4 linked regions of the Schizosaccharomyces pombe genome follow. The protein of the gene in region 2 binds, or shares a complex with, the protein of the main gene of each other region. Each region holds a gene or a part of one and is shown on either strand. Other genes may lie near its edges. The genes, in order: cox24, SPOM_SPBC3H7.04, rsm19 and mrps17.

Evidence for each region.
Region 1: SPOM_SPBC3H7.04 (region 2) and cox24 share a complex: the UniProt entries of both Schizosaccharomyces pombe proteins name them as parts of the mitochondrial small ribosomal subunit.
Region 3: SPOM_SPBC3H7.04 (region 2) and rsm19 share a complex: the UniProt entries of both Schizosaccharomyces pombe proteins name them as parts of the mitochondrial small ribosomal subunit.
Region 4: SPOM_SPBC3H7.04 (region 2) and mrps17 share a complex: the UniProt entries of both Schizosaccharomyces pombe proteins name them as parts of the mitochondrial small ribosomal subunit.

What each region holds. Positions count from the first base shown.
Region 1 is NC_003424.3:4,759,732-4,765,517, forward strand, and holds cox24 (mitochondrial 37S ribosomal protein mS38 ), read left to right. Parts: upstream 1-3,311; 5' UTR 3,312-3,347; coding exon 3,348-3,504; exon of another isoform or gene 3,505-3,546; coding exon 3,547-3,917; 3' UTR 3,918-4,491; downstream 4,492-5,786. Other genes in the region: proteasome assembly chaperone Ecm29, read left to right, coding at 1-315; SPOM_SPAC1782.02C (uncharacterized protein), read right to left, coding at 570-920, 1,021-1,155; splicing-associated factor Saf3, read left to right, coding at 2,076-3,143; ypa2 (serine/threonine-protein phosphatase 2A activator 2), read left to right, coding at 4,718-5,776. UniProt on the Schizosaccharomyces pombe protein: Component of the mitochondrial ribosome (mitoribosome), a dedicated translation machinery responsible for the synthesis of mitochondrial genome-encoded proteins, including at least some of the essential transmembrane subunits of the mitochondrial respiratory chain.
Region 2 is NC_003423.3:1,873,009-1,878,517, forward strand, and holds SPOM_SPBC3H7.04 (mitochondrial 37S ribosomal protein mS42), read right to left. Parts: upstream 3,774-5,509; 5' UTR 3,552-3,773; coding exon 2,889-3,551; 3' UTR 2,646-2,888; downstream 1-2,645. Other genes in the region: F-box protein Pof9, read left to right, coding at 1-312; SPOM_SPBC3H7.05C (uncharacterized protein), read left to right, coding at 1,451-2,524. UniProt on the Schizosaccharomyces pombe protein: Component of the mitochondrial ribosome (mitoribosome), a dedicated translation machinery responsible for the synthesis of mitochondrial genome-encoded proteins, including at least some of the essential transmembrane subunits of the mitochondrial respiratory chain.
Region 3 is NC_003424.3:383,453-389,174, reverse strand, and holds rsm19 (mitochondrial 37S ribosomal protein uS19m), read left to right. Parts: upstream 1-3,004; 5' UTR 3,005-3,025; coding exon 3,026-3,068; exon of another isoform or gene 3,069-3,131; coding exon 3,132-3,237; exon of another isoform or gene 3,238-3,287; coding exon 3,288-3,420; 3' UTR 3,421-3,954; coding exon of another isoform or gene 3,955-4,050; 3' UTR 4,051-4,114; coding exon of another isoform or gene 4,115-4,189; 3' UTR 4,190-4,289; downstream 4,290-5,722. Other genes in the region: methyltransferase complex regulatory subunit Trm112, read right to left, coding at 215-316, 362-454, 554-723, 760-775; tif313 (translation initiation factor eIF3m), read right to left, coding at 1,389-2,389, 2,561-2,717, 2,781-2,831; pre-ribosomal protein Loc1, read right to left, coding at 3,955-4,050, 4,115-4,189, 4,585-4,695, 4,826-4,855. UniProt on the Schizosaccharomyces pombe protein: Component of the mitochondrial ribosome (mitoribosome), a dedicated translation machinery responsible for the synthesis of mitochondrial genome-encoded proteins, including at least some of the essential transmembrane subunits of the mitochondrial respiratory chain.
Region 4 is NC_003423.3:1,165,348-1,170,303, forward strand, and holds mrps17 (mitochondrial 37S ribosomal protein uS17m), read right to left. Parts: upstream 1,951-4,956; 5' UTR 1,858-1,950; coding exon 1,585-1,857; 3' UTR 1,173-1,584; downstream 1-1,172. Other genes in the region: rib4 (6,7-dimethyl-8-ribityllumazine synthase), read left to right, coding at 134-175, 463-900; rRNA processing protein Tsr2, read left to right, coding at 2,187-2,453, 2,715-2,987; DNA recombination protein Saw1, read right to left, coding at 3,340-3,702; protein duc2, read right to left, coding at 4,207-4,875. UniProt on the Schizosaccharomyces pombe protein: Component of the mitochondrial ribosome (mitoribosome), a dedicated translation machinery responsible for the synthesis of mitochondrial genome-encoded proteins, including at least some of the essential transmembrane subunits of the mitochondrial respiratory chain.

The sequences.
Region 1 (5,786 bases), on a different chromosome or scaffold from region 2:
CTTGAGGAAAAAATTGCGCTTCAGCGCAATAGCGTCTATGCCATGTTTAATTCCAGCAGACCTGGAAATAAGAATTGTAATGAGATGTTGCTAACTTACTTGTCAAATGCCCTTGATGAAAATTATTTACATTGGAATGTGAAATTAGCAATTCTGAAAAATGCTCCTCACTTAAAAAAGATAATGTCTAACGAGGAATTCTTACTGTATAAAGATATTCTTTATCGTTGTTACGAAGACAATCCGTCACCAAAAGCAAAAGATTATGCTGAAGTCATCTTCGGCGAAAATTATTTAAGTGTTTTAAGAAATTAGCTTCATTATATTTATAGCTAGTGATAAAGCTGATCAGCCATTTGAACTTTCTAAACACTCATTTCTAATGCTAACATTGTAAAGGATTAATTAAAGAATATTTTATACAAACCTTTGACTAATGTATTCATATTTGATTTTAAACCTAGAATGTAAGCGATTGATGTTGAAAATCCAATAACGATAATAATAGCTTTTACAACAAATAAACAACAAGTGAAGAATACTAGATGCCAGTCACTTGGTTTTTTTTTTTAAGATTCTTCAACTTCACGTGCTTTTCTAGCGGCTAATTCTTCGGCCTTTTTTTGGTTTTTCAAGTATTTAGCCCTCTCTTCGCTCATTGCTGCAAACATCCAAAACTGCCACATCAAATCGCAAAATGCAAAAGTAAAAGTAAGGCTGTTGCTAGCGATATGCTCTTTTTTGAGGTAAATAAAGCCGGTAAGGATAAAGTCAAATATAGCACGAATTGGAGTAATTCCACTGAAGAACAGGAAATTGCTTTGTAACAATGAGATAGTATAAATCATTCCAAGAATCAAAAATACCAAGCCGGACAATGCAAGAGTCGATAAGTTGTCTTGTGTTACTATCAATGGTTTCTAAATTATAATGGTCAGATATCACTTCAAACATTAATCAAGAAATTAAAAAAAAAAAAAAAATACTATCTACTAAAACAATAAAGTTATAATCACATACAACTTCCATAGAAGCACCAATTAACGCGACCAGTCCACTTTCTACTACAAACTTGGGATTCCATAAAAATCCAATGCCAGCAAATGTTAGCATACAACAATAAAAAAGAACTATCGCTCGAAAAGAGAACAACATCGTGAAATCAGAAGACGACAAATGAGCAACTATTAACTTCTAGAGACTGTACTCCGTGGTTTAGAAAGAGAATGTAAAACTAATAAGTTTTTTTCGGAAAGAAAATGTAGAGAGTTTCGATGAATATTTCGTTCGTACTTTTGTTTTCTCAACGTCGCACCAATTATATGCACCTGATTTTTGCTATTTTACGGTAGTATCAAGCTCTGGGAAGTATGTACTCTCAATTAATGGTTATATTACGATAGTTGAACTTAACTTCACTATTGTTGCTAGTTGCCAGCGCTCGCTATCTGTATTTAGAATTAGAAGGTGAATTGAATTGAGAAATATAATCAATATAACAAAATTACAAGTATACGTTTGGTTTTATTTCTTCAAAGTTATTTTGGTATGAAAAAGTGAGATGCTGACAGATTTCAAGTCAAGAACTCTATATTTTTTAAAACCACTTCAACGAATTTTAGGATCTTGAAAAGTACATCATTTTTACTAATTATAGGAGGGTATTTTCAAAGGATATATTGTATGTAGCATCTAAATAATTTTTATGAAGGTCTCAAAGGGTTGACAACGGTTGTTTTTGGAAATACATTACATTGACCATAAACTGAAACGATGTATTTTACAAAAGGCAATTCAATTTTACAAACTTTCAGCTAAATATAAATTATGCCAGGATTCTCGTTCATTTGACTAGAATGTGTGCTTGTGATATTTGTTCTCGCATTGGTAAGTGCCCCGAAACCTCTTTGTAAGTGGCACCGTACCACAAATTGCATACATACAATCTATTATATCAGATATACAGTTTTATCTTGGGTGGTAGATAATAGATATATAATTTCCAATTCATATTTATATTGTTTTACCGGTTGATTGAAATTTGCCAACCAATTTAATAAAAAGCGTTTGTCAAGATGCCAATAGATACACCGTTGATACCCCATAAACCTATTTCAAGATATCGCTCTGGTAGATTGGAAGGGCTGGAAAGTGAGTCTTCTTCTGAAAGTGATTATGAAGAAGTTTCCGATTCACATGATCAAGAAAACTCGATTTCTTCATCAAGACATGTTATTACTCCAGTATTCGAGAAAGAAGGAATATCTGAAACCAAAACGTCTTCTAATTTCCAAAACATTAACCCAGTCCAAACAATTGATAACTCTGCTTCAGAATATGAGACTGACGCATCATCGGCAGAAGGGGGATCTAACTCTGCAGCATCTAGTTCTGAAGAAGAAGACTCTTCTGATTCGGAATATGAGATGGAGCTGAGAAGGCGGACACTTCTTCTTCCGCCAAAATTTACTAGTAAAGTCATCAAAAATCGGGCAAAAGCCAATGAAGAAGATACTGAGGTGCTTAAAAAAGTGACTTCACAAAAAATATTAGAAGAGACTATAAAACGGGAATTACTATTGAAAGAAACTAAAAACAATAATGAATTATTAAATGATATCGATGATACCGATGGAATTGATCCGCAAAGTGAATATGAATTATGGAAATTAAGGCATTTGCTTAGGAAAAAGAGAGACAAGGAAAAGTCACTGGAATTAGAAAGGGAAAAGATGGCAATTGAAGAAAGAAGATTAATGAATTCTGAGGAACGCGAAGCCCAAGATTTGAAGGACGCTGAAGCAAGTCGGAGAGGAAAGAAAAAGTCATCTATGCAGTTCTTACAAAAGTACTATCATAAGGGTGCATTCTATCAAAACGAAGATATTGTGAGTAAAAGAGATTATTCAGAAGCCACAGAAGGGGAAGTTCTTAATAAAGATTTATTACCCAAACCTATGCAAATTAGGGGAGATCTTTTTGCGAAGGCAGGCCAAACACGCTGGACGCATTTGGCAAATGAAGATACTACAAAAGAAGGATCTGCTTGGTATGATCCTAAAAACCCAATCTTGCAAAAAAATTTGCATCGTCTCGGTGGACTTCATTCTGACAGCCCACTCTCGAAGCGAAAACGTACCTAACATCTGTATATACATAAGGACAATTTTGTATTTCATTTAGCATTAATTTTATTTAACATCACATATATATTTAAATACAACATTCTTCTGAATTAATATCAAATGTGCACCACCCTTCCTCTTTGTAAGTGTTTAGCATAAGCATACCAATTCTTACCTTCCCGCAGTGCAAAGAGTACAACACATTTTTCGCCTTGGTCACCCATGTTACGAAGAGGTGCGCTTTCCACAATATTAAAAGGTTTAAACGGCCTTTCACTGCGTAGTCCCATACCGATTTGGCATGTTTCAGCTTCTCCCGAAGTTGGGTCGAAATATAACCTACCAACGGTTCCTACAACTTCACACGTTTCATATCGTCGTAAGTAAATTAAATACTTCTATTTCTAACTTCATTGCGTAGAAATCGCAAAAGCAAATTTCTTTGCTGGATATCGACCTTTGTCAGCTAATCAAATATGTGTGCCTAAAGTTGAGTCCAAAACACAAGTTTCGCAATCGCAGGATGAGGAAGATCAACCCCAGGAATATGTGTTATCTTTAGAGGATGGCTATTTGTATGCTCAATCATTCTCTGCATCTGGATCCGTAACTCAAACTCAACCCGCTCGTATATCTACTCAAGTATGGGAACAAATATGTGATAAGCTGATTTCTATTACACCTTTAGATTTGACCAGTGTCAAACGAAAAAGAAAATTGAAAATGAATAAACATAAGTTCAAAAAGCGCTTACGCCGACAACGAGCACTTAGGAAACGTCTAGGAAAATGAGATTATTAGAACTTATTTTTACTCGGGTTATATTTTTAGGTTGGTTGGATTGAGAGTTTAAGCTGTAAACAAGCATTTTCAAAATGGCTGCAAGCATTTATGAGTCTCTATTTTTAACTTGGATATCAGTACCTCTCTTTTCTTAAGAAACGTTTAATCATTTAATGTTTACTTCAGGCTTTTTTAACAAGGAATACATTTTCTCTCATGTATATTCTATCCTTTAATGTTCCGGTATGAGACAATTAGGTCGGTGCTTTTTTCTTGCGATAAAATCATTAAACAATCCGCGTTTATTTAACTATTTTCAAAAAGCGGAGCACTTATTTGTTTATGCCGGCTATCTCCTTCATATCAATTAGCTTCCCATGTCTAGTACTATTACAATACCTCCATCTTTGGCCCTTCCTTTTTATATTTTTAAATATTTGTCGATGGCTAGAATTAATGACATGTACACTTCATGTGAATCATAAATATGTTGTTGTATATCAAGCAATTAATAAACGCTTATTACACTGTATCTGTTTACACATAGAATAAAAGAACACATTGGTATGAAAAATAACTTTAGTAGTCGAAATTATTTCCTTAAAACAATTTTGAAAAAAAAAAAAAAAATTTCTACATTTCTTTCTTTAAAAAATGTTCTCACTGATTATAGCTAATTACAATAATGAAATGTAACGTACTGACGACTGACATAACAAATAACAACATAAGGAATATTGAAGAGCGTCCAACTGTATAATTTTTAAGGCTTTTGTTAATCTTGTCTTAACCGATCAAGTTATGCCAACATGCTTTCTAGAGAAGAGCAAAACCGGTGTTTCGTTCCTGTCCGACGAATTTTAGACAATGAAGACTTAAAATTATTTAAAGAAGGAGATGCTTATAAGTTAATTGATTCGTTTATTTGTGATCTTGACGAAGCTGTGAAAGACAAGCCTATTTCAGCTTCAATTCCGCAAAGCTCATCAATAGAGCATGTATTAAATATACTAGATCGAGTTGGAGAAATTAAACAGGAAAATCCTGCAATTGATAATATGGGGTCGAGGTTTGGCAATCCTGCATTTCAATCATTTTACGATCAGGTATACATTGAAACACCAAAGTTGCACCAAGTATTTGGAATTGAGCATAATGCGGCGATGGAGGCAGGTCGATATTTTTATGAAAGCTTTGGAAACAGAAAGCGAATAGATTATGGAAGTGGTCATGAACTTTACTTTATGTCATGGTTACTAATTTTAAAGCAACTAGGCATTTTTACTAAAAATGATTATCCAGCATTGGTCGTTCGAGTTTTTGTTAAGTATGTTGAATTGATGAGGTCTTTGCAAATTTTTTATACTCTCGAACCAGCAGGATCTCATGGTGTATGGGGATTAGATGATTTTCATTTCCTCCCTTTTTTGTTTGGTGCAGCTCAGTTGGTTAATCATAAATATTTGCGTCCCAAACATGTTAGAGATCCAGAAATTTTGGAGATGTGTCGCGCTGATTATATGTACTTAGGTTATGTTTACTTTTTAAATAAGTTGAAGCCTTCTGTTTCACTACGTTTCCATTCTCCAATGATTGACGATATTTCTGCCGTAAAGACTTGGTCTAAAGTCAACGAAGGCATGATAAAAATGTATAGAGCAGAAGTTTTGGGTAAACTTCCTATAATGCAGCACTATCTTTTTGGCCATTTAATCCCAGCTTCACCTGGGATGTCTCCTGCTCCCCAAGACGGTGATGATTCTGAGGTGACACATGTTCATTCTCATTATGCTGACTGTTGTGGCATCAAGATACCAAGTGCGATCTCTGCTGCCAAAAATAATGGAAGTAGGATTCCGTTTGATTAAAAATTCTCGA
Region 2 (5,509 bases):
TTACGTTATTGTGGGTGTTTAGGTTTGGGTTCTCTTCATTTGCAAGAACAGACATCTGATCCCAGCATTGTTTCTGATCCACGCACCGCACGCAACATCGTTTCCATTCCACATCAAATTCACTTTTCAGGAACTTGCTATTCAGTTGCAGCCGGCGGATGGCAAAGTGCTGCTCTCGCCATTTCGGAATCTGTTTTACCCGAAGTCAATGTGCCTCCAATTACAACTTTTTCTATCATCCGACCATCCAGAGTTCCAGCGTTGCGCTTTTTAGCTGCCCCTGCGACTCGGACTTTGGAAAGGGACGGCTAGGTGAAATAGTGATCAACTTTGCTTGGTAAGCTAATTTCCGCGTGCGCACTAGAGAAGGATTTTATTTTGTCCGCTAAGTAAGTGAAATAAATAAATATCTCGGCCACCTCGGACTTCCGAATTTATCTCTATTTTTACTAATTCCTCTAGGTAAGCCAATTATAAAAAAAAGCAGCACAAGGAAAACACAACGGTGATTAAATAAGTGAGAAAATTTTTTTTCCTTCTTCCTGTATCGCAATTACATAAAGTACACACATTGACCAATTTATATTCCTGACCCCTGTGAATTAAGTTACTGTGCTACTACGACGAGTTTTTACCAAACATTATTATTTTTTTTAATTGATTTGGACTGTAAGGAAGGTTACCGATTTTCATATTAAATCCTCGGTGGTCAAAATTTGTTGGGCTCTTGCTCTCTATTTGTCGTTTGCGTTGGTGGTTTGTAATATTCCTAACCACCCCATTTTTTTCTGGCGACCCTAACTTGGGGGTTTTGTTTACAGATCCAGGTGTCGAGAAAACCGGTATTTTCAGGCAGAAATCGATCTTAAGAGACGATTTTTTCTTGTTGGGTTGACTACCTTGTACCTGAAATCTGTTGTGCGAAAATTTCCAGATTTAAAAAATCGTGGATTGATTGAAGGGCAATTGAAGATTACGGGATGCTATTTTCCTTTTCATGCAATTAGCAAGTATTACTGATTTATTTGTAATTCCACAGTGTCTGATTTATTTTTGTTAACAACTATATTATAACACTTTTTTTTCTTTGCCTTCATCATCATCATCATCATCATCGTTGTTCTTTGTTTCTTTCAATAAGCATTTTGTCATTTTCTTTTATCATTATTGTCTTTTTTTCATATTTTTGTCGGTTGACTGATTGATTGTAAATAAAGTCTCATAGTTATATAGAGTGTGGTTTGCCTTTTCTTATTGTTTCGCCTTGTCTTGTCTTGTCTCGTCTAGTGTTGCTTGTATTGTCTTACCCTATCTGTTCTTTTTCTTCACTTTTGTTTTAACTGCGAATTTTCTTTCTTACTTTTTTGCTTTTCTTCCTTTCCTATTCCTCCACTATAAAGTTTTCGGCGTTTGATCATCTACGAACACGATCTAAAATTCAATTACTTTCATGTATCCATTTTCTTTCGATCCTTCTTCCAAACTTCCAGTCACAGGTATTTATAACATCCTTCTGTTCAATCTATTCCCTTTAGCTACATACCTTGTCGAAACCTTTTGTTTTTTTCGCCGGTGGAAAATCGCCTGCACTTTGTTATGTTCCATCACGGTTATACTGGCGTATCGCATGTGTGCTGTCTATCACCATGTTGGTTATAAGGATGTCTCTACATTTGGTTTGGCATATGGCTTTCTCATTATGATGTCGCTTCGAACTTGCTTTTTGAGTTGGCGAGATATGGTACCTTCTCGCAACGATCCTGTACAAATCAGCGCTGTTAAGCGTCGTCGACCATTCATTCGTAACGCTAGGTGGAACTTTGTTGATTATGCACTTTCTTTGCGCAAGTATGGTTGGACTGACGACGTGGTTCCCCCTTACTGTAGAAAAGTGCTGACTTACAAATCTTTGGGGATACGTACTGCTGTCTATGTGGGTGCATTTTGTTTTGTCAATTGTTTTAAAACTCGTTTATCCAATTGGATGTTGCTTCCTATATCAGCCAACCCATGGTATATTCAAGTCGCATTTTGCGTAACCTCTGGATTCTTTTCATATTTGTTTATTAATGCCTTGTACTATTTATTCGCCATTATTTTTGTTCCTCTGGGAATTTGGGATATTGCAGAGTATCCATTAATGATGGGAAATGTATCTAAAACCACCTCGGTTAATGATTTTTGGTCCAGAGATTGGCATGTTTGTACCAAGCCCTATTTCAGAGTGATTGCTTGGGATCCAACTATTGCCCTCACTGGAAGTAAGTTTCTGGCAAGTTGTTCATGTTTTTTCCTTTCAGCATTATTCCATGACTTTGCCTATTGGTCAATTTCTGGACGCTGTTCACCTGCTTTCTTTTTTCAGCTTTTAATTCAACCTTTCCTTATTAATCTTGAAAAAAGGATTCCCCTCTTGCGCAAATATCATTATTGGGTCCTAATAATCGAAATGCTTATTAATGGAACATATGGTATGGGAGTCGTATTATTAAAATTTAAGTGGAAAACATGCTCGCAAATTTAATTTACTGTTTAATGTCTATGTTTGACCTTCCGAAACCTCTAAAGTATCAGATAATTGCTATGTGTCCTAGTTTATACATTTAATGGATGGTTCAACTAAATTAACTTTTCCGTAGATATTGTTGGAATGTTAAATAATATATAGAGGGAAACATTACATTTAGCATTCTAATTCTCATTCTTTGCCAACAGTAATTACAAAACTTTATTTATTTATAAGATTTGTTAATAGTATGGGTTTTTTCAATCAGATAAAGTGAACCCATAGTAAGCCACCATGATCACTTGCATACAAAACGTAGCCGGGAGAGGAGGGGAGAGAAGTAGAAAAAGATTGAAAATTGTGCAGGATTCAGTCGGGTTAGCTAAAGGGATTCAATGCGCGTAGCTTGGAATCTATTGTTGACGACCGTCCAATTGATCATATCCCACCATTTTGTAATGTACATTTTTTTACCATTTAAACCATAGTCGTCAAGATACGCATATTGCCAAAGGTTAACGCATAAAAGCGGTACAATTGCATTGGTACGAAACTTAGGAAATCCTGTTCCCCAAAGAAAGGCATTTGACGCATTGTACGTGCATAATAAGGAAAATAAAGATTTTTCTGGACTATATACCAACCACAGCCAACCATCACCAAAAACTGAATTGCCAACGTCAACCATTTGAGACTTCAACTCACCAAATGAACCGAAGGATGCATCAATTCCAGGCTTTAGGTTGATAGCTCCTAAATCTGCATCTGCAGAGGGCCGTTCTGGAGAAATAAGGCCGGAAAAGAAAAAATCATGATTTACCAATTGGCTAGAGTAATTGAATAAATTAGCGCGGGCTGGGTCACTAGCGCTTTGAACCATTAAATCTGAAGGCACACGATACGGAGTTTGATGAATTTTACATTCTTTTTGTACTAGGCCTCGTAAGTGGTTGTCATAAGCAAAGATATTCCTGACCGCATCTTTTGACAAAAAATTCTTGTAGCCCACGTCCAACGCTCTGGCGAAGCGCTGTTGAAAACTCATTTGTTAAATTGAGGTAATAGTTAGGGAATGGGTATAAAAAACTGCAATGGAAATCAAGTATGCGGGTTTAAATTTTGTAATCCTAAGAAATTGGCAAAGACGACCAAACTGTATAATTAATTCATTAAGTATTAACAAAATATGAAAATCAAATAGTGTAGATGCTACGTTTTTGAATGTTTGAAATATTTCAACTTCAATATTGGTAAAGGCGTTCCACTCAGACCGCTCAGAGAGAGGTAAGCAGCCCTACTGGCGCAAGTAAAATATCGGTATGAAAGTTCTGCATTCCTTGTTGCGATATATACCATTATACCACTATATAAATTTTTGAAGTTGAATTAACAGAAATCTAAAACTTCGTTGAAACTTAACTAGTATTACAATGAATTTGTTAACAAGTTTCCCAAAAAAAATTGTGAAAGTAATCTTAAAGCGTTCAACGGGTTTAAACGGTGGATTATAAAAGCCTTTATTCCCAATATGACCATGATTCAATTTAAAAGTAAGCTGTATGACTCATTTTCAATCAAATTTACTTCGTCTTTTATAAGAAGATTCATTGACTTGAGAAGAAGAAAAATAACTTTAATATTCGAATGATCACAACTTTTATGTGAAAGAACTGTAAATATGTTAAACGTTTATAAATGACAATTGTGGCCGTTTGGTCTAGTGGTATGATACCATCTTAGGGTGATGGTGGTCGTGGGTTCGATTCCCACAACAGCCCGATTTTTTTTTTTGTCTCAGTAATTCAAGAGACCCTCAAATTTTTTATGTAACCGTTTAGATTGCAGCCTAATTGTTCAAAAGCTTACTCAAATTTGATCTAAACATTCGTGATTAATCGTTTATGAAACCATACGCTAACGATTAATTAGGAATTGATACAGGTTCATAACACCGTTCATGGATTGGAAACATCTACCATTTATTTTTAGTTTTAGTTAACTAAAATTGTAAGTGCACTGCATTTTTTTCGAAGCTTCATTTCTTTCATCGTTCAAAAAGCTGCTTTGGCAATAAAAAAAAGTTTAAGGTTATTTTTAGCCGAGGCTACTGGGATTGTTTCATATGCTTACAAGCGAAATAGGGAATAACTAGCTGCATACAAATGTTTTTGAAGAATACCTACCATTGGGGCTGAGCTAGAAGAAATATGGGATTTGAGACAAAAAGATTACTACTATATTAAGGAAGAACTGCTGAAACTTAGACGGAATAACCCAAGTATGCATACATGCTGCCAAGCCCGGTCTTGTTGCAATTTCAGGCTCTACACAACAGTAACAAGTGATTTATGGATTACGGATACTTTTTTTAAATTTAATATTATCTGGTTATAGTTAAAATAGAAGATTGTTTCACTATCCACTAGTTTTGGATTACATGCCATTAGTGATCAGGGCTATAAGCGAATAATTTTCAACGTTTCATCTGACCCTGGTACAATTTTTTCAGTAAGTCACATATTTATTTATTTTTATCCAAAATAAGAGCTAGATGCGTATTTTTTACAGGCCATGCCACAGTCTTTTTTAATTGCTAATGTATTAGACTGTGTCAATGGTACGAGACATTACTAACGAGTAAAGGTAATTTCTTCTATAGGATAGATTAAATATACCACCTAGAATTAGCGATGATTTTTACACAAACTCAGCATGTCTGTTTTGTAATTACCAATCCGTTTAATTTATTTGATGTGCGCTCAAAAGATATATAACAATAATCAAGGACAAGAAGCATGAATAATTGATGACATACTAACATACATTTTAAATAAATTTTTGTAATACAACTAACCGTAATACATCGGTTTTAGTAACCATTTTTGCAATTGAGAGTATATGTTCCTTCAGTTTAGCTAAGGTCTATTTATAACATTTCTTCTCAATGATGTCGTAAGTATTAATTGGTATTGATTGTTTTCGGGCGGTCGAAATGGTTTGGGA
Region 3 (5,722 bases), on a different chromosome or scaffold from region 2:
TAAACCAAATTTTGAAAAGTATTCATATAACCTCATTCACAACTCCTTTAGTATCAAAAATAATGTCAATTTCATTTTGACAAAAATAGTAAAACAAAACCAAATGCGAATATGATTCTTCCCGAATATCCACAGTCCCAAAAATAAAGATAAAGCAGCTTTTGCAATAGTTTTCAAACACCTAATTCTTTCAAAGTGGCACCAAGCACCTAACTTAAATTTCTGATTCGGAAAGCAGCATATTAGGAATTCCTTCAAATATGGGGTACACATGTCCACAATTCCCGCAAACCATTTTCCCCTCTGTGATTTCAGTCTAGTAGTTAAGGTTAGAACACAGCTGAACTTTTTAGAATCATACCTCTAGTAAAACATTATGAAGAGATTTCAATAGCACCTCATCGGAATCATCAACAAGATCGGGCTTTTCATCAGGTAAACTATAATTACCCAACTAGTTATGGTTAGATTGGCTTAACAACATTGGATTATGAAAATTTTAATCCGACACAACATATCATTTCTTCATCAATCCAACTATAAGAGCACAAACCTGTCTCGTTGTCTTTAACAAAGCATTCCAATCGATTCTGGGCATAATTCCAATAAGGAACTCCGGTTTCAATTCTAATTGTTGAATAGCCAATTTCGCATCAACCACATCCAACGGGAATGCCTCAGGAGAGCTTGTGCATTTTTTATTAGAACAGTTTAAGAAGTTTGCTATTCATTAGATAAACTGACTTGTGAAGTTCGTACCTGTTAGTAGCTTCATTCTTTTGCTTTCAAGTATTTAAGAAGTTGAATAATTTATTTACAGCCGCTTTTGTATTTCAAAAGAAAATATAAAGATTTCTAATATAAATACTATCAAGTCGTCGAAAACTCTTAAATTTGCCAGTAGCTATGGTACAAAAATTTTTTAAGTAACGTCAGGTAAGCAACACTTGATATATGTATGTTAAGTCAAAGTTATTTATGCGTTAGGAAAAACGAATGTTGACAGATTTGTTAGATATAAACAAAAGATTTAATAAAGCTAATCATTTTGCAAAATTAGGAGTCAATCTTCTTTCCTTTTTTAAAATCTCAATTTTACGTAACAGTTGTAGGTTACTTTTTTAGTTAGTGTACAAAAAATTCTTTAAGTTGACGACAGAAATAATTAGGGAAGTCTCTTGGTTAAAAAGAGTCTTGCACGGATACATCCATAATTACAAAGAAAGTGATTGCTGCTTTGAACTTCTTCGCTTTTGGTCTGCTATTTATTAGTGTACTGCAACCTAAAATTTATAAGAAAATCTTTAGTCTAAAGTCCACGTAATTGAAGGTAACTCTAATACAGGTGAAACTTAATGATCAGAATCCTATTTTATTTTTCTAATGAACTATTCAGAGGCTGTGACCGCGGATCCGTCTCTATTTCCCTTTTTGCTAGAGGCTATAGTAAAGCTAGATAAAGGTTGCTCCATTACTTGTAGCATGTAACGTAAACTTGAACCCCATTTAGCTAATTTTTCGTGTAAAGCAACCCATTCGTGCTTACCAAAGACACGATAGCTGCTACGGTGAATGGATAACGTTTTAGTCAACTGAGACATGCGGCCTTCAACAAGTCCAGCACGAATAACATCAATGATCCATAATTCTACTTCATTTTCATCAATCTTCAAACTCTTGGCTACATCACCATAGGATAATGTATTATTGGGAGCCTGGGTAGCTAATGAAGCAATAGTTAAAAGTTTCATCTTACGTGCAATTGCATCTTCATCAAATTTTTGGTGTTGGCAATGAGCATGGTTTTCGGCAACCCAACTTACATAATCGTCGGTCATCCCGCCGGACAAAATACCAAGTAACTGTAAAGTACTTTGTTCAAGCTGCTGAACGGGTGGAAGGGTGACAATATCATCAAAGAAAAAGTACTTAGGGCTGTTAACAGCGCGTTGAACTAATTCGCGAACCGCCTCGTCAGCAGTTGAGTTGTCCATTTTTACGGCTTCCAAAAGGAAAGCAAATGATTGCTCATCATCGTATGATTGAATAGCTTTAGAAACAAAAATATTAAATGCCCGATGGTCCGATACACTGACACCAGCTTCTTTAAGCCAGTCAGGGAAGTATTTCAAATTAGGTGCAAGAGTGCTAAACAAGGAATAACGGGTAGTGAGAGTAACAACACTAGTAAGAATGCTTAAACGTGCGTGTTGACGTTCTTTGACGGCCGTATTAAATAAAATGCTTAAGACACTGAGTATGGCAGGAGTGAGATTGTTGTTTTGATCGGCAATCTGCTCTAAGGCTTGGCAAAATTTAGAAACATGATCTTCGAAAGCAGCAGATTCTTGGATAAGATTAATAAAGACGGCTAAAATAGGCTCGAGTTCTGTTTCGTGTTAGTAATAGCATGGAAGAGAAAATAAGCGAAAACTTGGAAAGCTGCAAACCAAACACATCAGCTCATAGTATACTTTCAGAACTAACAATATAACAAATGCCCTTTAGCACTTATTAAAATAATTCTTTAATTTCCTAGCCTAAAACTATTTTGCATTACCTTTCTCAGGTGCTTGTGCCAACAATGGCAAGCGAGTCAGAAACAGATTAAGAACTTCTTTAACATTTTCAGAAGCCAAATATTCTCGGCAAAGAGCAAGTACATTTTTATCGGTATTAGCCTCAAGATTATCCAAATACATAGCCAATTCTTCCACCTTTTGAAATTTCGTTAGTTGAAAAAAGTTTTACCAAAAATCGCCGAGTCATTAGCGACATACCTGTTCCTCTACGGAAGAGTCAACTACCAAAATAAAATCAGAGCCTTCCATCTCTGTTATTAATACGAATCTAGCAGACGAGAAATGCAAATATTCGCTGTTAGTGGTAGTTGGAGAGTAGGACTTGGCACCTCCACCTCGTTCAATGGTTAAAACGAAGTGGAAGTAACAACACCAGGTTGCTACCTCACATTTATTAACGATTGCTGCATTAGCAATTAACTAGCTTTCTAACATTTCACCTCATGTTTTGGACTAGTGTAGCCAGAGCTCGGTCAGTCTGGAAAGGTAAATGAATATAAATATACTTGTTTTGAAAATAATTTAGAACCTGTTATTCTGACATTATAGGACCCAACGTGGTCGATTTCGGTGTCAACGTTCAGCAATGTATTAAAGGAAACGTTCCTATAAAAACAGCTGTGCGATCTGCAACTATTTTACCTAGAATGGTTGGGTATGATACTCGTATTTAGCAAGTGTGGACGTTAACTAACTAAATTCTAGTGCTCAATTTATGGTTCATAATGGTAAATCATATGCCAATGTAAAAATTACAGAAGATATGATCGGGCATAAATTAGGTGAATTTGCACCTACCAGAAAAGCATTTCATTACAGACAAACTAAAAATCGGTAATTATTTTGGATTCTTGGCGAAAACTGGGCTATATGGCCTATTCAAAACACTTTTCACATGGATTCATAACTACCAAGAATTTCAAGTCTGCCTCAAAATTTCAATTCGTGACTTTAAATGGAGCTACCATATTAGTATTTTGTAGGACATTTCCTGTAAGAAAGCGAATATATAATTCGCCGAATCTTTTCATTACTTTCAGGCTTTTAATGACAGCACTTCTTCCAATGGATGTACTTGCACGTATAAATGTATGTATGAAAAAGTGATATGATGTTGCATAATTTTCTGTCAATGTTTTACAAAAGAATTTTGCATTCCCCTACTTGGATTTTTTATTTTTAAATTTGAAACGCAATGGCTTATGTGTTTAATGTTATTGGTTGTACTTATTTAGTAGTCTGTATAATGAATAATTAACAGCATCGAAAAACCGAATGAACCCGATATCCCAAAAGAAAATGAAAAATTAATAATTGAAAGGCAATACGAAAAAAAGGATCTTTGGAAGTGTCGTTATAACAATTGAATAACTCATTTCTTTTCGTTTTTCCGACCCGTCTTTTTATCAGCTTTGTTATTGCTGATTTTTCTGTCAGATTGTTTAGAAAAGACGGCTTCGCGCTCGTGCTAACGTAAATAGTTAGTAAATTGACTGAAACTTGAAATCAAAATAATTCATGGAAATACTTACAGCCACTTGAAGTTTAGATTTTATTTTATCGTCAAGCTCATAAGTAACTTGATTGAGAATATTTTGAAGGTCATCCTGTAACAGCAATTAGTTAATGAACAATGAATGTGGAAAATGAATAAATAGATGAAGGAATGCCCATCAATTAAAATCAAAAAGTAAAAAAACAAACAAACCAAATCAGATCAAAAATTAGATTACATGACTCAAAAAGCGCAGCAAGTTCACTTAAAACCTTATTTGTCGGATCTGGTGGTAAAGAGGAACGAATGCGGAAGAATAGGGTTCAGGGCCTTGAAAGTTTATAAACAAGATTTGTAGGATTTATATAGAGAGATATTTATCATCGTAACATCTACCACACTGACTTGAGATTTTTGTTGTTTAATGTTTTTGAATATTACTTGTTGAGTAAATGGAAGCATTTTCAACATCTATAATGAAAGAACATGGATGTGAGAATGAATTACCTTAGTTTCAGCAAATATTTTCCCCTTCTTCTTCCCCTTTTTCTGAATCTTAGTTTGGGGATTTTTAGAAGTGTTTAGCTTGGGAAGGTCCAAATCCTCCACGCGAATTTGCTACAAAAAGAAAAAGTTAGAAAAAAGGGTTCGATTTTACCAGTAAAAGTAAACAAAGAAACATTTAAAGAAGAGAAAAGAAACTCCCCTTTTACATGGTTCGTAAATTGTGAAGGAAGAAGGAGCATACATTTTTTGGTTTAGATTTTTTCACGACCATTTTCTAAATATAAAAAGTCGTAAAATGATTTAGCAAGGCACAAAAGGATAGAAGAAATGCAAACGTTAAAGATCCAAAAACGAAATTAGAATGAAACGACGAGTAAGAAACGAAAGCAATCAGCTAGAGACGAATTGAATTTTTTTTTGTACGGGCAGTGAGTGTTTGCAACTAAACTACCAGTGCGCTTTACGGGACTTTCGGTGAGATACGGAGTTTTGCCGGAGACAATTTTTAAGGAGATGGTCTCGGAGTTGTGCCGGTGGTCTATAGAGGAATCGGAGTATTGTCGGTGAAAATCGGAATGCTGTCGGTGAGGTTGTCGGAGATTTATTGAATGTGTAGGAGGAGGCTTCAAACCCATATACATACATACATAAGATAATAGAGATGCATAAGGATGGAGATGAAGGGAAGGAGGCACGGCTTACACAGTGAAAAAATGGAGAAGCTAGAGTGGAATGGGAAAGGGAAGCGTAAGCGTAAGCGTCATACAATGACAAACTGCAATTCCAGCTTGATACAAGAGTTGCATGGATCGATGTGTTTTCATCCACTCTAGCATCCCCATAGTATGATGCGTTTCGATTTTCATTTTCATTTGCCTAGCCCTATAATTCCTCATTTCCTCCTAATTTCATGTATGAAATTGTTCAAAATTTTATTCCGTTTTTTTTTTTACTATTTTATCCAATTTTTATTTCAGTCTTTTCTTCATAATTTCATCGCTCAAGTTTTCATCACTTACCACCCCTTTCCACCTTTTCCTTCCTATTAGCCTAGCTAGCTTAGTGCCCTTCACTCTAAAGCTTGCTTCTCCTTACTTGGGCTTTTGTGTGGTGTAGCGTGGATTGCTTGCTTAAATGC
Region 4 (4,956 bases), 710 kb from region 2:
TTTCTAGAACCTTAAGTATTAGATCTGTTGATTCTGTAAATCAGTTCTTGCTGCAGCTTATAAAGCACACGCACACCAAACTTGCTGCATTTTTCTGTATAGTCTTCACAACTATTTAATCAAGTAAATAATCATGTTCAGTGGTATTAAAGGCCCTAACCCTTCAGACTTAAAGGTATGAATCAAAAATATGAACTTGCGGTGTTTTCTTTGCGTTTCCTATTTAGCGCTGCTTGTTTTCACTTATATCCATGAAAAGAAGTTCGATATGTTTTTTTTTTTTAGTTGAACCTTTTCTTCTGAATACCGAATTTTATTTTATTTTCTACACGATATAATTATTGCTTAAGTGTTCTATTTACAAAAGCGCTTGGTCTTTTTTTTTTTAAATTTCTCCTCTTTCTCACGCAGTTTTTTCGTGAAAATAGTTAATTCAAAAGTTCTAATCAATTTTTTTTATAGGGACCAGAATTGCGCATTCTTATTGTCCATGCCCGCTGGAATCTTCAAGCCATTGAGCCTCTTGTTAAGGGTGCCGTTGAGACCATGATAGAAAAACATGATGTGAAGTTGGAGAATATTGACATTGAAAGTGTTCCGGGAAGTTGGGAACTTCCTCAAGGTATTCGTGCTTCCATCGCCCGCAATACATATGATGCTGTTATTGGCATTGGCGTTTTAATCAAAGGTTCCACCATGCATTTTGAATATATTTCAGAAGCTGTTGTTCATGGTCTTATGCGCGTTGGCCTTGATTCAGGTGTTCCCGTCATTCTAGGTCTATTAACAGTTTTAAATGAAGAGCAAGCTCTTTATCGTGCAGGTTTGAATGGTGGCCATAACCATGGAAATGATTGGGGATCAGCTGCTGTAGAGATGGGATTGAAAGCTTTGTATTAATTAAGTTGAATCCTTTGCTCATTTTTTTGTTAATAAAATATGCTACTGACTGTTTTGCTCTTCGAAAGGACCTACTGACATGCTAAAGCTTTAGTCATGATCCTTTATACATTGTCGCTTTCTTATGAGCACCGTCTTAGTTGAACAAGTATGTTTTTCATTCAATCGTTTGCAACGTATTTTCATGATTCCCCAGTTTGTTAAGATATACAGCTATGGGTTAATGTATACGATGTTTTAAATTTGCTTAAGACTTAATCCCAACTTATTATGTTTTGTAAGCTTTATTTTGAATATATTACTGTCTATATGCATCTTGTTCAATCACTTGCCCTTTTTACAAAAAAAGATGTTACAGAAGTATTATTGACATAGTTGTAAACAAATTTAAAGGCATTGAATGCTGGGAGCAGGAAACATGGTACTACAAGAGTAGTTTTCTTTTAGAAATGAATGTGATTTGAGACTCTTCTGATGCACAATCTACAATTTGCAACATTACGTAGCCATTGTGAATGTAAAAATTTCCAGTTAAAATCGATATCGGTGTATACAGGTAATTGGCAAGTTAAGAAAGAGCGGTCAATCACCGATTTACAATATTCATGACCACCGCGAAAGACTTATCACAATGGATCAATCGAAATCATTAGGAATCATCAAAAATTAATGGGGATTTTTTATTTACTCTTTCGAAATCTCCGATGCTGGGCTCATACGGTTGGCTGTGCTTAAGATTTTTATGATTTCAAAGCGTTTAGTCGCTGACCGAGGCCTACATGGCTGTATTGTAACTGCATCTCCAACATTACAATTTAAATCATCTTGAACCATATAGTTTTGATATTGGGTGACATACTTTTTCACCACTGGATGGAACTTTTCTTTTGCAACCCGCACTTTCGCTGTTTTTGGCATTGCACGAGAAATCACGATTCCCACATAATTTAGCTTCATTCTTCAGAGTAATTTTAGGATTAAACAAGAAAAGTAAGTAAGTCTAATCCTTTAAATACCCACAATAACTAAGTTATCAATGCGCACCGTTTTAGCAGTAGAGAGTTTTGACATTGCCCTATTTACAAATGTGCAATGAAGCGGCGTCTTTTCCCTTATAATTATTTAACATAAATAAGCTTTCCTTAAGTCAATTAATGATAATATATAAATGTGATAAACAACATAACGAGGATCGGAAAAGTATGTGTATTTTATTTTAAAGTACTTTATGGTAGGGTGACTTTGTAGAGAAGAAGAACGAGGGTTATTGACACTGTGTTTTCGCCATGTTTGACGACCCATCTAAGAGACTGACATATTTTGAATATGCTGTCGGTGTTCTTTTATGTTCATGGCCTGTTATGAAACAGGCTGTTGAAGAAGAATGGGCCGATGTCGATACCGCCGATAAACGAGACTGGATGGCAGGAGTTTTAGTTGATTATATTACAGTTACGAGCGATGTGGAAGCATGGGACGTTGAAGAATTGATTCTTCAAGTCCTGCAGGATGAATTCAATGTTGGTTCAATAGAAGACGACTCACCCTATATCGTAAGTATTCACCAATACTAAATTAGGTAAAGATTTTTTTCAAACAAGAAAGAACGTAACAAGCTTGCTTGAGACTGAAGATTCGTATATATATATTGGCACCGAAAAAATGATTTAAGTTTGAGGACGAAATATTGGAATATTAGTCAAAAGCTCGAGTTTATACACATATTGCGTTCTGTTGTCTATATTAAAAATTTTTTACTTCTATTAGCATTTAAAATAATTATCAAGTGATACGTCTATTAACAGTCTATTTAGTTGGCTCAAGATTTGGTTAATGTGTGGAAAGCTGCTTGCGAAGATAATTATGAACCTATTCGTGAAATCCATGAGCGTCTCGGAAAACAATTGCTTGAAAAGGAGGAAGGAAAGGAAAAAACTAGAGAAGAGTCAAATCCTCCGGTATTGGTAGAAGACGAAACGATTGTTGATGCTGAGGATGGAGGAGCTGCTCAAAATCAGCAGGAAAAGCAGCAGGGACCCATTGTTGATGATGATGGATTCACCGTTGTCCAGAAAAGACGTCGTTAAAGAGGATGTACTATTCTTATATCTTTTGGTATCATTAAATGAGCATTATTGCTGGGAGCAATTGGTTTTATCTTTTTTGTATTTTGGGGGATAATAAAAATTCAAGTTTTTGGTTTGAAAATTGAAAATTGGGATCGAAATAACTCTTATATTTTTTAAGCCTTTGTAATCCGTGTCATAAGAAGATGTAGTTAAAAGTATAGAAGAACGTGATCCGCCAAAATACGAATACGAGTTAAATTGAGCAGCTTTTTCACTTCTCAAATTTTTAATACTTGTTTTTTATGAGATTAGGCTGTAAATAGAGTGTATTTTAGTCATGCAGACGTAAAAAGGCGCAAAATACATTCTTTCATGAATCGAATGGTTGTACATAAATATGTATTATTTTACTAGTCATTGATCCTTTAAAACTCAACTGCAATTCTGGCTTTCGATCCATGTTTTCCTCCTCTTCAGCAGTATTTGGTAGTGCAAAATTTCTAGCAGTTTCGATGATTGCATGGCTTTGGACCGATTCACTCGTAATATCCACTACTCTTTTCTCGTAGAGCGTGCGGATGGATCCTTGGTTGAGAAATGCAACTGCATGCAATTCACGCTGTAGGGAAAAAAGGAAAGCCCGAATATCAAGGTCTTCTTTTGTTTTAAAATGAATTCGAACGTGACACAACAAGTTATGCCTCAACCTCACAATTTTCTCAACAGAACACATTTGCACCTTGGTGTCTGGTTAGATACGGGAGGATGGTCAACCATAGCCAAAAAAAGCAAATGACAAAACTCTTTGAATTTCTCAATACTCCATGTATTAAGTTAAATTATATACAACAAAAGACGACTTATAAATTTCAATTCTAAGATGGGAATACAGTCAAGTAAATGAGTCGTAAACATAACGACTTTTTAGGAATGCTATTTATTATTTATTTTTTAACTAGCCAAGTAGTTAAGTATATGAACAACAATAATCCTTCAAAAGAGAGAATCTAACAACAAATAAATATATCGAGATGTAAACGATCAAAATGGTGTCTTTTTCATTATAGCAAACGAGCAGACATTAGGGCTAAAAGTATTGTGAAAAGTAGTTGTGACCAACATATTATCTTTTCGATTAAAGCAAAAGTTTTTCAAAAAAAAAAAAGATAATACCGTTCGCCTAGCAAACATCACTTGCCATCTATCCACTGCTGTTGGCTTGAGGTATTAATCAAAATTACAGATCAAATTCAACAGCAAAGATGACATTCCCATCTCTAGTTTTGCAAAAATATCGTAAAGGTTGACCATTATAGTAATTTTTTATTGAGAAACTCATTTTTGTATAAGGAATAGAGATGCTCAAGGTGCTAGGATTGAAAAAGGGATTGCAGAAATCAGCAAGTATGTATTTATTGGGATCAATGGATGATTCTTGGCGAATAACCTGTTGCTGCATTTGTGAGCGTCTGCTTGAATGATCTTCAAAATACTCCATGGGAAGCAATGCATCTGATACTTGCATCTTTGTCATCGTAGCGAAGAAAGGAGAAAATGCCCAAGGCTGATCGCAATATAAATCGAATTCGATACTTGGATCGACATATTGCAGTCCCTTCATCAGTAGGTTGGAACCCATGGGTAGAACATCACGAAGTGGTTTTTCAAATTGATTTCCAAATAAAATGTCATCTGCGGTCAACGTACTCTCTGTAGGTAAAAATCTGCCTCGTATCATAATAGAACAAGTATCGTTGGATTGCTCGAAATATTCTTCGTCTGGAGTTTCATAATCGCGCAGACGTACTTTGACATCTCCTTCAAAGTACTTGCTTTTTACAACATTTGGAGTTCCATTAATAGAAATCGGTTCTTTTTTAGATCCACAAATTAAGAAACACTTCATCTCCGGACGGAGAGGGCGTAATAAAGAAAAGAGTAGCTTATCCAAGTTGGCAAAAATAATATCGGTGTATATGTACTACTT